3 linked regions of the Xenopus tropicalis genome follow. The main gene of each other region encodes a partner of the protein of the gene in region 2 in a complex. Links are inferred from orthologs where the notes say so. Each region holds a gene or a part of one and is shown on either strand. Other genes may lie near its edges.

Region 1 (3,753 bases), on a different chromosome or scaffold from region 2:
AATTGAATAGAAAGAGTCTGGGAAATTCAAATTATAATCTTGTCAGGGATAGAAACATGGTTCTGATTTAATCTGATTAGCCTTCAGACAGCCCCCACAATCCAGACTGCTTTGGGCCCCCCTGCTACATTGTAAGAAAGGACACCAGTTATGTACAATTTGGTCAGAAATTTATACTGTAGTTACTGACCATCCAAAAAGGAACACACACATTTTGCACATGAACCAAATGAGGGGCTCATTCCCTCCCCGCAGATCTTACCTCTCGCATGGATAGGATGTCCACAGCAGGCAGGCATTCCAGCACATAGAGAAGAACATCTTCCGGCAGACTGAGCAAGGTCAGCACGCGGGGTCGCCTCTTTACTCGCCGCTTCGGAGGAGCAGCAAAGCATTTGGAGCAGCGGCAGTGCAAGGCTGGAAGGGAAAACAACGGATCAGACTGCAGATCCTGAGGAGCCACCCGTTCTACCAATGCCCTAAAGGTGTGAACTAAGTTTTCAGAAAGAAACACTCAGGGCTGGTTTACACTACATGCCAGCAGCAGCTACCTAAAGAAACCCAGGTCTCATTACTACTCAGGGCAGACAATTGCAGCAGTGGCAGTCTCTTCCATTTGTAGCAACCTTAGACTTTTCCACCATACAATTAAAATGCACCATATACAATTGTCCGATTCTATAAACTCTATATAACACAATGTGCCTGGAGAAAGCTAAATACAGCCTTGCTGCAACCTGGAGGGCCACCAATAGTTCTACATTAATGGTATAGGGCTCAATAAACCCATGGTTTCTGTGTGCTCTTAATGAGAAACAAACAAATGAAACTCACAGCAAACATTGAGGAAAGATACACAGCCTGGCTCCCAGAATAATATTTAGCATTAATATACCATGGGACAAGTCTGATTTGATATAAATTATAAACAGGCACAAAAGAAATGTACAACATGCAGCTCAGTCTGTGAATGCTCTGACAGAAATTTAAATCCCTCACGGATGCATGATGGGAGTTGCTTAAGAATTCTGCTCAGTTGAGCCCCTAGTGGCTGCTGGGCATCATTACAAGCTGATTTATCTCTCCCCTCAAATATAATCTTTCCCTTATCAGCTACTAGATCTCAACCCCAATGTGATCATTACAATTCCAGTACAGAATATAAATGATCTGAAAAGCAAATACACACTTTTATTTTCCATGCTAAGTTGTACTGGCACCAATCTATCACATTTACCAAAAATGCATCTTTTAAATCTCCAAGCATACAAAGCTGCCTTGGTGGGGGCAACTGTAGAATGTGCATAGAACATTAGATATTATAGATATACATAGATTTGAATTAACTTGTAAAAGTAACTAAACAGGACTATCAAATACATCAGTAATTCAACAGGGGAAACTCAATTTTAAACCCCCTGATTAAAATACATGAGACTTAATATCACTTTAAAAAATAGATCTTCATATAAAAGAGATGAAAACTGTGAAAATGACCCTACAATTAGATTGTAAGCTCTACGGGGCAGGGACCTCCTTCCTACTGTGTCTCATACCACATGGCACTTATATATATATTTATTTATTTATTATATCACTCGTCCTCCCTGTGTGTAATTTTGTATTCTGTAAGATTGTACAGCGCTGCGTACCCTTGTGGCGCTTTATAAATAAAGTTATACATACATACAATATTGGCAGCAGCCCCTCTATTGGGAAATAAGCCCCGATGGATCATGAGGAAAGTGTCCCCTCCCACCCACAACCAGTTACTGGCTGGCAAGTTTATTTTCAAACCAAACCCGCCCACCTCTTAACACCCAATAAACACACTAATCAACTAAAATGCCCCCCTGCTCCCACTAAAGTACCCCATGAATGTACATTAGGGAAACCTGGTGAGAGCACAGGCAGCACAGAAATAAAAGCCACAATCCACATGGGGAGCAATACACACACACAGGGACATGGGGGACACTGAGCTGAATAAAACTACAGATCAACCTTAATTATTATCTCAGGTAGTTAATTAGCCATTAAGGGGGATTTAAAGAAAAAGATAACTAGTATTTCATTCATTCTACAGCAGCTACAGTGCCAAGAGATCTGGCTATTATAAATCTATACTTCTAGGAGTATAATATTATATATAAAGCCATACATTCATTATAAACAAGTTACATTTAAAGGTCACAACCCCCCCCCCCCCCCCCCCCCCCCCCCCCCCCGGCCGCCCATCCTCCCACTTTCGGCAGAGTTTGGAGGGAGATTTAAAACTGCTGAGAGCAGGAAGTGACTTCTCAGGGGGGAATGAGATGAACACGCTCCCTGCAGGAATGCACAGCGTTATATATATATATATTCCTATATAACATGAATAGCACAATCACATAAGTGGAACCCCTAGCAGGGAAGGCGATCGGGGGAGCGCTAGGGTTTATAGGGTCTCTACCATACATTATAGGCAGGCAAACCTGTTGCTGAACTACATATCCCATCAATTTGCGCAGCAGGCGCAAACTAGAGGAATGTATGAACTGGTGATCGCAACATAAATATCAGTTATATCAGATCTACGCCTGTCAGACACTTACCTCCTCCCTTCATGCCGAGCAATTAGCTGGTGAGGTAGATGAGCAGTGGGAATCGGTGCTACCGCCTGGCTCAGAGCGCAAATTTCGATTTCATTAGGTGCCCGGCCTGCATATCCCAACTCAGGCCAGGGCTACGCCCACAGAGAGGGCAAACCAATCCGAAGCGAAGAATGAACAATAGCCACGCCCTCAAGCCAATCAAACGCTAGATGCTCTTGCGAAACCAGCCAATGGCATTTGCTAAACGGTTCCCACAGATATTAACACGCCCACATACTGACGTCACTGAGTTCCCGGAAGAACTCGTAGAGGCGCTAATAAAACCGAGATCGAAGTACCTGTTTGTTTAAGTATAAATCTATAATGTTATTAGTTTTTGCAAAGACCCGTTTTTAAGCTGCCCGCATTAATCACGGCTTTCATTGTCCGTGAAAAGAATATACAAAGCCACGCCCCTTTCTCCCAGTGTTCAGCGAGGCAGCGTGTATTTTTTTGAACGGCGCTCATGACGCGGATTGGCTCTGGCGAAGGGGGCGGGGCCATTTAAACCCAGGGCAGTAGTAGGCGGGGTGCAGGGAGGCGGGGTGCAGGTTCATCTGAGGCTTTTGGGGCATGGAAGTTTGCGCTAATGTAAAGCAGATATTGTATAGGCGGGAAGGTGAAACTCAGTGGTAGAGGGTTTGGCCGCAGGTAAGGGCGGCAATACGCGGGAGTAGGGCAATTCCTCAGCAATATGGCTGTGTCCCCTGAATGAACACTGAGGGGCAAAATTAGAAAAATGTGAGTTTATAACTTTAAGGAACCCTGTAATGGGGGACGTGTATTTTTAAACACATCAGTTAATGGAGCTTCTCCGGCAGAATCTGCATTGTAATCTGCTTTTGAAAAACTCAAACAGAATTTTTTTATATTTAATTTTTAAATTTGACATGGGGCTAGCCATATTATTCATTTCCCAGGGTGCCACAGCCATGTGATCTGTGCTCTGATAAACTTCAGTCTCACTTTACTGCTGAGCTGCAAGTTGGAATGATATCCCCCCCCTCCCAGCAGCCGATCAGCAGAACAATGGGAAGGGAGCAAGATAGCAGCTCCCAGAATAGCACTCAATAGTAAGAAATCCAAGTCCAGCTTGGGACTCCTCCAGTTACATGGGAGT
Region 2 (3,753 bases):
CACCCATAATGCCAGGGCCTGGAAAATGTATCTGCATTGGGCCCTGCCTTCTAATAGTACACCGATGATTATACATATCATTTAGATTTTACAGAAATTCTGGAAGATTTTGGGGGCACATGAACATCACCAATGGAATAATTCTGGTAAAAAGAACATGGGGTCGGGGACAATGTAACCAGATGCATCAAGTGAGAGGGGGGTTGTCAATAGCTTGGCGTCACGTCATCTTGTTTTTTCTGTGTTTCGCACTGTTTTCCTTTTCTAAATAAAATGTAATAATTAAAAAATGCTGTGAAACAAAAACAATTAAGGATGTGAACTTAAGATGATTTGCTGTAAACCGCTTTTTGCTGAAAAGTTGTTTTTTTTTATTGGCAATGAAAATAGATTTATTGATAAATTAAGCTAGCTCAATCAAACACACTGATCCCGTCTGCTCTTCAATTCAGAACAGCCCTCAATTAAGGGAACAAAATGAAGAAAAAAAAAAAAAGTTAACTTTTACTTTACTACATAAACTCGCTTATAAATACAACTTTTAAGGGCAGTTTTTAAGTAAAAATATACGCAAACAACCAACTTACAGAATAATCCCCCCCAACTCTTTAAACCTTTTTAGCTGTACACTCCAAATCAAAAGCTTCAGCCTGGTGCATTTTTATATACAAAATCTGTAACTTAAGTGATCAACATAATAAACAGCATAGGGAACAAATTATATATTATATAAAACCACAACACTATAGAACACCGGCAGCAAGCTGTTTGCACGGGGTGTTCGTAAGGTTAAAGGAAGGGACAACAATGCTGCTGGGATTTAATAAATTAAAACAAAATGTGTCACAATGCATACTACTTCCTCTATAAGGATGCACAGGAAATGCCAAGAGCGGGGAAAAGAAATAGGGGCGGCCCAAAGCTCTTCATTCAGAGAAAGAATGACACGAAGACTGTCTGTGCTGAGAGCTCTTACGTACTAACATACTGAAGTGGTTAGGCCATCAGCAACCAGTTCATCTGCTTGAAGGTTCATTATTAAAGCCTCACTTTTCTCCACCACCCACACCAAGCCCTTAACCCCTCTGAAAAACATTTTAAAAATGCATCATTTCCCCCATACACACACACATATGGGTAAATATAAGTGCTAAGACCAGACTATAACCTCTCGTTTCTTGTTTAATCTTCTGCAGTAGGGAGAGAGGTGTGTGTGCGTATATATATATATATATATATATATATATATATATATATATATATATATATATATATATATGGAAAAGGAAGCACACCATAAGAATGCGATACCTAGGTGCCAGAGCGAGGAATCAAATATAGTGTAGGTTATATAGTGTAGGTTGTCAGCACTCATAGGTTTTAAGTAATAAAGCAAAAAAGGCAACAAATAGAAAAATCAAGCAGTGAGGTTTATTTGTTCCGATGTTTCAGTCCTATACAGGGACTTTCGATCCCTGACGAATGTCCCTGTATAGGACTGAAATAAACCTCACTGCTTGATTTTTCAATTTGTTGCCTTTTTTGCTTTATTACTTAAAACCTGAGCGCTGACAACCTACACTATATATATATATATTTATTACTCACACACACATTTATTTTGGCGCTTGATTAGTAATACAAATTAACATCTCCAAAATCGATTTTCTTGCATTACAAACATGAACCTCCAAAAGGAATGTGGACCATAGGAATATATAGCCTTATAAGACAATTAGGAACTGGAGCAGCAATGAATGATTATTGGTAATAGGTTCTGTGCTAGACAAAAAAAAAAAATATCCTATTCAGGCACTATTTTACAAATCCAGAGCTGTGAGGCCACTAAAGTCACAGTCGAAGTTGAAAAGTTCTGCAGCACCCTCGCAGGTTTGCAATCCAAAGCTGTACTCCTGTGATGAAGCAGGAGACAGGCTGATGAAGTCATTGGGGAGAAAGTCCGGCATAGCATCCCGGTAGTCCAGGAGGAGGTTAGAGGGAGAAAGTGGGAGACAATTCAAGGTAGAATCAAGAGGTATTTCATTCTCTGGTGGCAGGAACGGCTCTACAAAAAACATGACAAGTAGGTTATATTAGTGGAGTGAGAAAATACAGGGTTATTGATAATAGCTCTTACAACAAGTTGATCCAGGAACTGGTCCAATTGTCATCTTGGTGTCAGAAAGGAAATTTTTTACCGCAACTGAGGGAAAACTGGAGAAGCTTCAAATAGCTTTGGGTGGGGGGCTAAACCCTTCCTGAGCTTAGGAACTGACCGGCAGTGAGAGTAAAGGTGGCCATAGACGTTAAGATCCGCTTACTTGGCGAAGTCGCCAAGTGAGCGGATCTCCTCCCGATATCCCCCACCAACAGGTGGGCGATATCAAGCAAATCCAGTTGTTTGGCCGATTGAACGAACGAATTAGAACGATGGTAATAGGACCGATCCGACTAAATTTTTTAACCTGCCCGATTCCAGGCCAGATGTTGGTCGGGTAGGCCTGTCGTTAGTGCCCCTACACGGGCCAATAAGCTGCCGAATCGGTCTAAGGGACCGATATTGGCAACTAGAATCAGCCTGTGTATGGCCACCTATAGAGAGAGTGTGAGTGTAATAAACAATAGAGGTCATCAGTATTATTGTATATTATTGCTGCTGAGATGTTCTGTGACAAAGTCTCCACCTCGAGTTGCAGGAACAAAGAACATGAGCAGGTAGGATTCTCATTGATGGATTACAATATAACCATGATATTATTAAACTACAGCTCCAAATGCACTTGATACCGTGATGTTAAAGTAGGCTGGAATTTGTAGCAGCAAGTCAAGTAAGGTGTAAGTAATCAACATGGATGTTGGTCTACTATGTGCCAAACAACAGACAAGATACTTCTATGTAATGCTAGCCATTCAATAAAGCTTTGAAGCCTATAAATGAAAAAAAAAAACTGCCACTTTCCAGCACATGATTTATTAAATCCCCAGTTCCACAGCAATGCTTTTTAGATCTGCTGTTTTTGTCAACCAAACATTGCACCTTAAATTTGCAAGCTCTGGCCTTACTTTGTAGTGCCACCAGAATTTGACCTCATTAGCCGAGACTGATTAGTATAGCCCTTGCTAAATGGTAGGTTTGCTTCTCGTTTAGCAGCCTGACTCTACAGCAGCAGATTTCCATGCAATCTGAAGCAGTTAGATCGGATTAAAGGAATAGTAACACCAAAAAATGAAAGTGTATAAAACTAAAATATAATGTGCTGCTGCCCTGCACTGGTAAAAGTTGTGTGTTTACTTCAGAAAGTCTACTATAATTTATATAAATAAGCTGCTATGTAGCCATGGAGGCAGCCATTCAAAGGAGAAAAGGCACAGGCACATAGCAGATAACAGATAAAACACTATTGTATTCTACAGAACTTATCTGTTATCTGCTATGTAACCTGTGCCTTTTCTCCTTTTTCCAAGCTTGAACGGCTGCCCCCGTGGCTACACAGCAGCTTATTATATAAATTATAGTAGTGTTACTGTAGCAAACACACCAGTTTTACCAGTGCAGGGCAACAGTGCATTATATTTTTATTACTTTAAAGCTCTTTCATTTTTTGGTGTTACTGTTCCTTTAACAGATTACTTAGACCAAGTTTGTTTGGAGACTTTGCTTTGTGTTTTCTAAAGCAGTAAACAGTGTGCTAGTATTGACACATTAGCTACTCACACAGTATTTATGAGCAATTGGGCATCATAAATAAAATA
Region 3 (3,753 bases), on a different chromosome or scaffold from region 2:
ATAAAGAGAAAGCTTGGGAACATTTTAGTTACAACTCCTGTAGCTTAAACCTTAAGAACTTTACAGTTAAAATACATTGCTCTTATATGAAAAAGAATCCATAGCATATAGTACTGGAGTATCTACACTGGTAGATCTGGCAGGTAAGCAAAGAACTAGCTCCTAGTTCTAACTAAAAGAGTGTACGTTTTAAAGGGTAACTTTGTGGACAGATTGGCCCCTGGCCCACCAAAACTCAGACATTTAGCTGGGGCTGAACTGCCAGAATCCCCCTACCACAAAGAATTACACACAATCCCACATGCAAAGCCAAGGGATACTGCTGTACAGAACAGATATGAAAAAAAGAACAGAAAGCAAAGAAAGGGGCCAAGACAGAAACGTTGCCCCCTTTCACCATGCAATATATTATCAGCATTGCTTGGGGCCTAACAAAGCATAAACATTCTTAAATACTGCCAAAGAGTACAAAATATTAAGATTCCCATAGCGTATTAGACATCCTTACTTCCAACTCGTGTATAAATAAACCAAATCTGATTCAATAAGGGCCTCCTAATTGGTGTAAATAATACAGGGAATTAGGAAATGCTTGGAGCCAATAATGTAGGAGCAACTCTAGAAATGTTCTCACGCCACAAGCCATCAAACAAACATAGGACAAGCTGAAATATAAAGTCAAGATTGCCAGTATTTCCAAAATACAATGAACACTTCAAGTATAAAGGATACTGACTCCGAAATAGGAAATATCCTAAATGTGACTCAGTACGACCTTTAAAGGTAAGGCTTGAGGGACCTTTCACTCTGCCCCCTTCCCAACATAATATATTGTGGAACAAACCTAAAGCAAAAGCATTTCCAATCTGCAGCCTTCTAGCTGTTATTAACAGCAATTCCTGGCATCCTACCAATGTAGCTGGTGTTGTGGGGGTTTTAGTGCAACAATAGGAGGGCCACAGCTTAGATATGCCTAATGTACATTTGTGCCATATGCATCTTTCTACAGTGACCCCTACACAATACTGTGCATCATCCATTTCCCACGTGGGTCATGCAGCCCAATCAGTCCTGTGCTTAGCCTTAATTGTTACTACCATAACCAAACTTCCTACTGCAGCATTGTACTCTGTGCTGCACTTTCCTCTCCCAGGCTGCACATGTAGGCCAGGCCTTACCCAATCAGCACTGGGAGCAGCCAGCATGTGTCACTGATATGAGTGGGACTGATCAGGCAGCCCAGAGGAATGTCTCCTCCCTGCAGCAGCAGCAGCAGCAGCAGACAATGCTCTCGCCTTCATTAGCATACAGCTGACACTTAGGGCTTTTCATAGTGACTGTCCCACTGAGCAGCATGTGGCCCCAGGAGGCTGTCTGACCCAGGAAGCTGGCTCTATAGAACAAATGGGAGCCCTAACCCCCCCCCCCCCCCCCCCCCCCCCCCACACACACACACACACACACACTTTTACTACCAGTTAAAACTAAATGGCTTCTCTGACCATGGTAAAAGTTTCACACCAAAATGGTGTGACACAAAATGGAGGACTATGATAAATCAAGGTTCCTTAAAAAGCTAAAAAATAACCAGAATCCCCTTCTGTTTGTATACATTGTGCATTAAAGGTCCCAGAGAACAGCAGTGCACATTCTCCCTCACTCACACCCACCCTTATCCTGCTGCACAGGAAAGTACAATTAGCAAGAGAGCAGGGATGCTTGAGTTTCCAGAACAGACACAAGGCTCCACTTGTTCACTCCAACTGCACATGTGCACTACTACACACTATATACACTACTACGCACTAATAATCAGAACTCAGCATTCTAACCACAGGCCCATCACAATAACAAACTCCATCAGAAAAGCAAAGATTACCCATGAAAATTGTTGCATGCTCCATTGATCAGAAATTCCCAATATGCTGATGTGTGACTACAAAACCCTGCATCCCCTAATATCCTCTGACTTCCATGGAATGCAGGGGCTTTAGTTTCCCCAACAGCTGGTGGGCCCCATATTGCATATACCTGCACTGTATAACTACAATAACTTGCAGCAGCACAAAATTCAAGGATTTTCCCCCAAACATTGTGCTCAGTGTCTATGCATAGGAACTTCAAGTGGGGCATATATTGTACATATAAATAGGAGCAAGTTATTTTTTAATATTTCTATTATTGCTAAACCCACCATGGAATCAAACAGTGACTAAGCATGGCAAACACACACATATATATATATAGGTATAATTCATATATAAATACAATATAGCCTGATGCACTTGGAAGGGTTACTTAGTTGTAAGAGTTAAAACAATGGTGTATATGAAAATCTGTCATCCTGCTACATCTCCCCACAGCTCCAAGCAGTCCTGAGTACAAGCCCAGAAATCAGAGTGCAAAAGCAAGTAAATATGAGGAATATTATCCAATAAGTCAGCAGGGACTACCCTCCCCCCCAGGCAGAGCATGCTGCAGGAAATTAGTGCATTGTGTGGGACCATGAGAGCCTGGGGATCAGCATATATCCCAGTCTTAGGGGGGATCAGGTAAGTGGGAGGATAGAAGGGGTGACCCTTATGCAAGGGACCTACCTCAACACAGGACACGACTGGCTCACTATTCCCAGCTCACTACTAGAGCCACTCTTTGTTACCATTGCCTGAAAACTTGAAAATGAGGCAGGCATGAGCAACCGAGCGTCGAGCGCATCCACCGCGCACATCCGCGATCAGACCTAGCCAGGCACAATCAAAACAATTGGCATGTTATCTCCTGGGCAGGCTGAAGGTTGCTAGGAATTCTCAGGCATCGGCTGCTTCACTTACGTCATGGACTTTTAAACGGCAGAAGTCCCGGCGCAGTTTATTAGCCACAATCTTTAGAAGGTTACCCCGGCATGCTGGGAATTGTAGTTTAGGGAAACTGGCGAGGCTGATAGACAATGTTTACGGTTAGTGTGATTTGATAGGCTGTGCCTTTCAGCAGGAGGAAAATAAATCTCTGGGTTTTCTGCTGTCCTAGTGGGATAAATTGAGCATTAATGATTGTGATTATCCAGGCAATGTACTGGGCAAGGAGGGATGCTGGCTTATTTCAGATAATTTCAGAAGCAAACTTTAGAAGGAAAAATAAAGATGACTTTCTGTTTCATTAATAAGCAGCACTGTATGGCCATATAGCTTTATGTATGGGCAGATCATTACTTCCTTGCTTATTGGAAGCACCATGTTTATTGATTTTGAACAGACACACACCATACTAAGGACAGAAGATCACACAGTAAGATCATATGTGACTCATTGGACCGCAGACACCTAAATGGTGCTTTGATTGCCCCAAAAATCTCTATGCTTTGTGTGAAATCACCTACTAGAATGTAAAGAATGGAGGGAGACCATTAAATATCCAAAAGGGTAATGCTTGGGCCTTGATAGAGGCAGATCAACTATGGTAGGCCTATGTACAAATGAACTGCTGGCCTATCAACCTACCCACCTGTTGCTGAATAACTAAGGGTACACAAAATAATGTGCATAAAGTAACATGTATATAATTGGTTACTTTGCCTTCAGTTCATGACAGATGTAATGTAATAGTCTTGAAATGTATTTTTCACCAACGTTTTTTTCAGAATTGCTTAAAACCCCAAGGGGTGATTCAGGGTTGTGCCTTTCAGGTGGGGATTAGCTCTACATGACCTATAAAAGATTAAGAGTGTCAATGAGCAGATTAACATTCTCTTGTCAT

The links.
Region 1: the proteins of e2f1 (region 2) and ccnf are in contact, whole or in part, in a cryo-EM structure (PDB 9CB3), measured with the Homo sapiens proteins. The link is inferred for Xenopus tropicalis from reciprocal best matches to the Homo sapiens genes E2F1 and CCNF. Residues at the interface, in NP_005216.1 of Homo sapiens: Gly84, Arg85, Pro87, Val88, Lys89, Arg90, Arg91, Leu92, Asp93, Leu94, Glu95, Thr96; in NP_001752.2 of Homo sapiens: Met309, Ile312, Leu313, Asp315, Trp316, Glu319, Val320, Met323, Arg349, Leu352, Gln353, Trp379, Leu380, Thr381, Asp382, Thr384, Asp504, Tyr505, Val508, Leu510, Thr511.
Region 3: e2f1 (region 2) and tfdp2 share a complex: the UniProt entries of both Homo sapiens proteins name them as parts of the DRTF1/E2F transcription factor complex. The link is inferred for Xenopus tropicalis from reciprocal best matches to the Homo sapiens genes E2F1 and TFDP2.

Annotation. Positions count from the first base shown.
Region 1 is NC_030685.2:22,529,291-22,533,043, reverse strand, and holds the start of ccnf (cyclin-F), read right to left. Parts: upstream 2,669-3,753; 5' UTR 2,608-2,668; coding exon 2,595-2,607; intron 418-2,594; coding exon 263-417; intron 1-262. UniProt on the Homo sapiens protein: Substrate recognition component of a SCF (SKP1-CUL1-F-box protein) E3 ubiquitin-protein ligase complex which mediates the ubiquitination and subsequent proteasomal degradation of target proteins.
Region 2 is NC_030686.2:41,701,368-41,705,120, reverse strand, and holds the end of e2f1 (transcription factor E2F1), read right to left. Parts: intron 2,066-3,753; coding exon 1,821-2,065; 3' UTR 348-1,820; downstream 1-347. UniProt on the Homo sapiens protein: Transcription activator that binds DNA cooperatively with DP proteins through the E2 recognition site, 5'-TTTC[CG]CGC-3' found in the promoter region of a number of genes whose products are involved in cell cycle regulation or in DNA replication.
Region 3 is NC_030681.2:129,561,303-129,565,055, forward strand, and holds the start of tfdp2 (transcription factor Dp-2), read right to left. Parts: upstream 2,807-3,753; 5' UTR 2,598-2,806; intron 1-2,597. UniProt on the Homo sapiens protein: Can stimulate E2F-dependent transcription.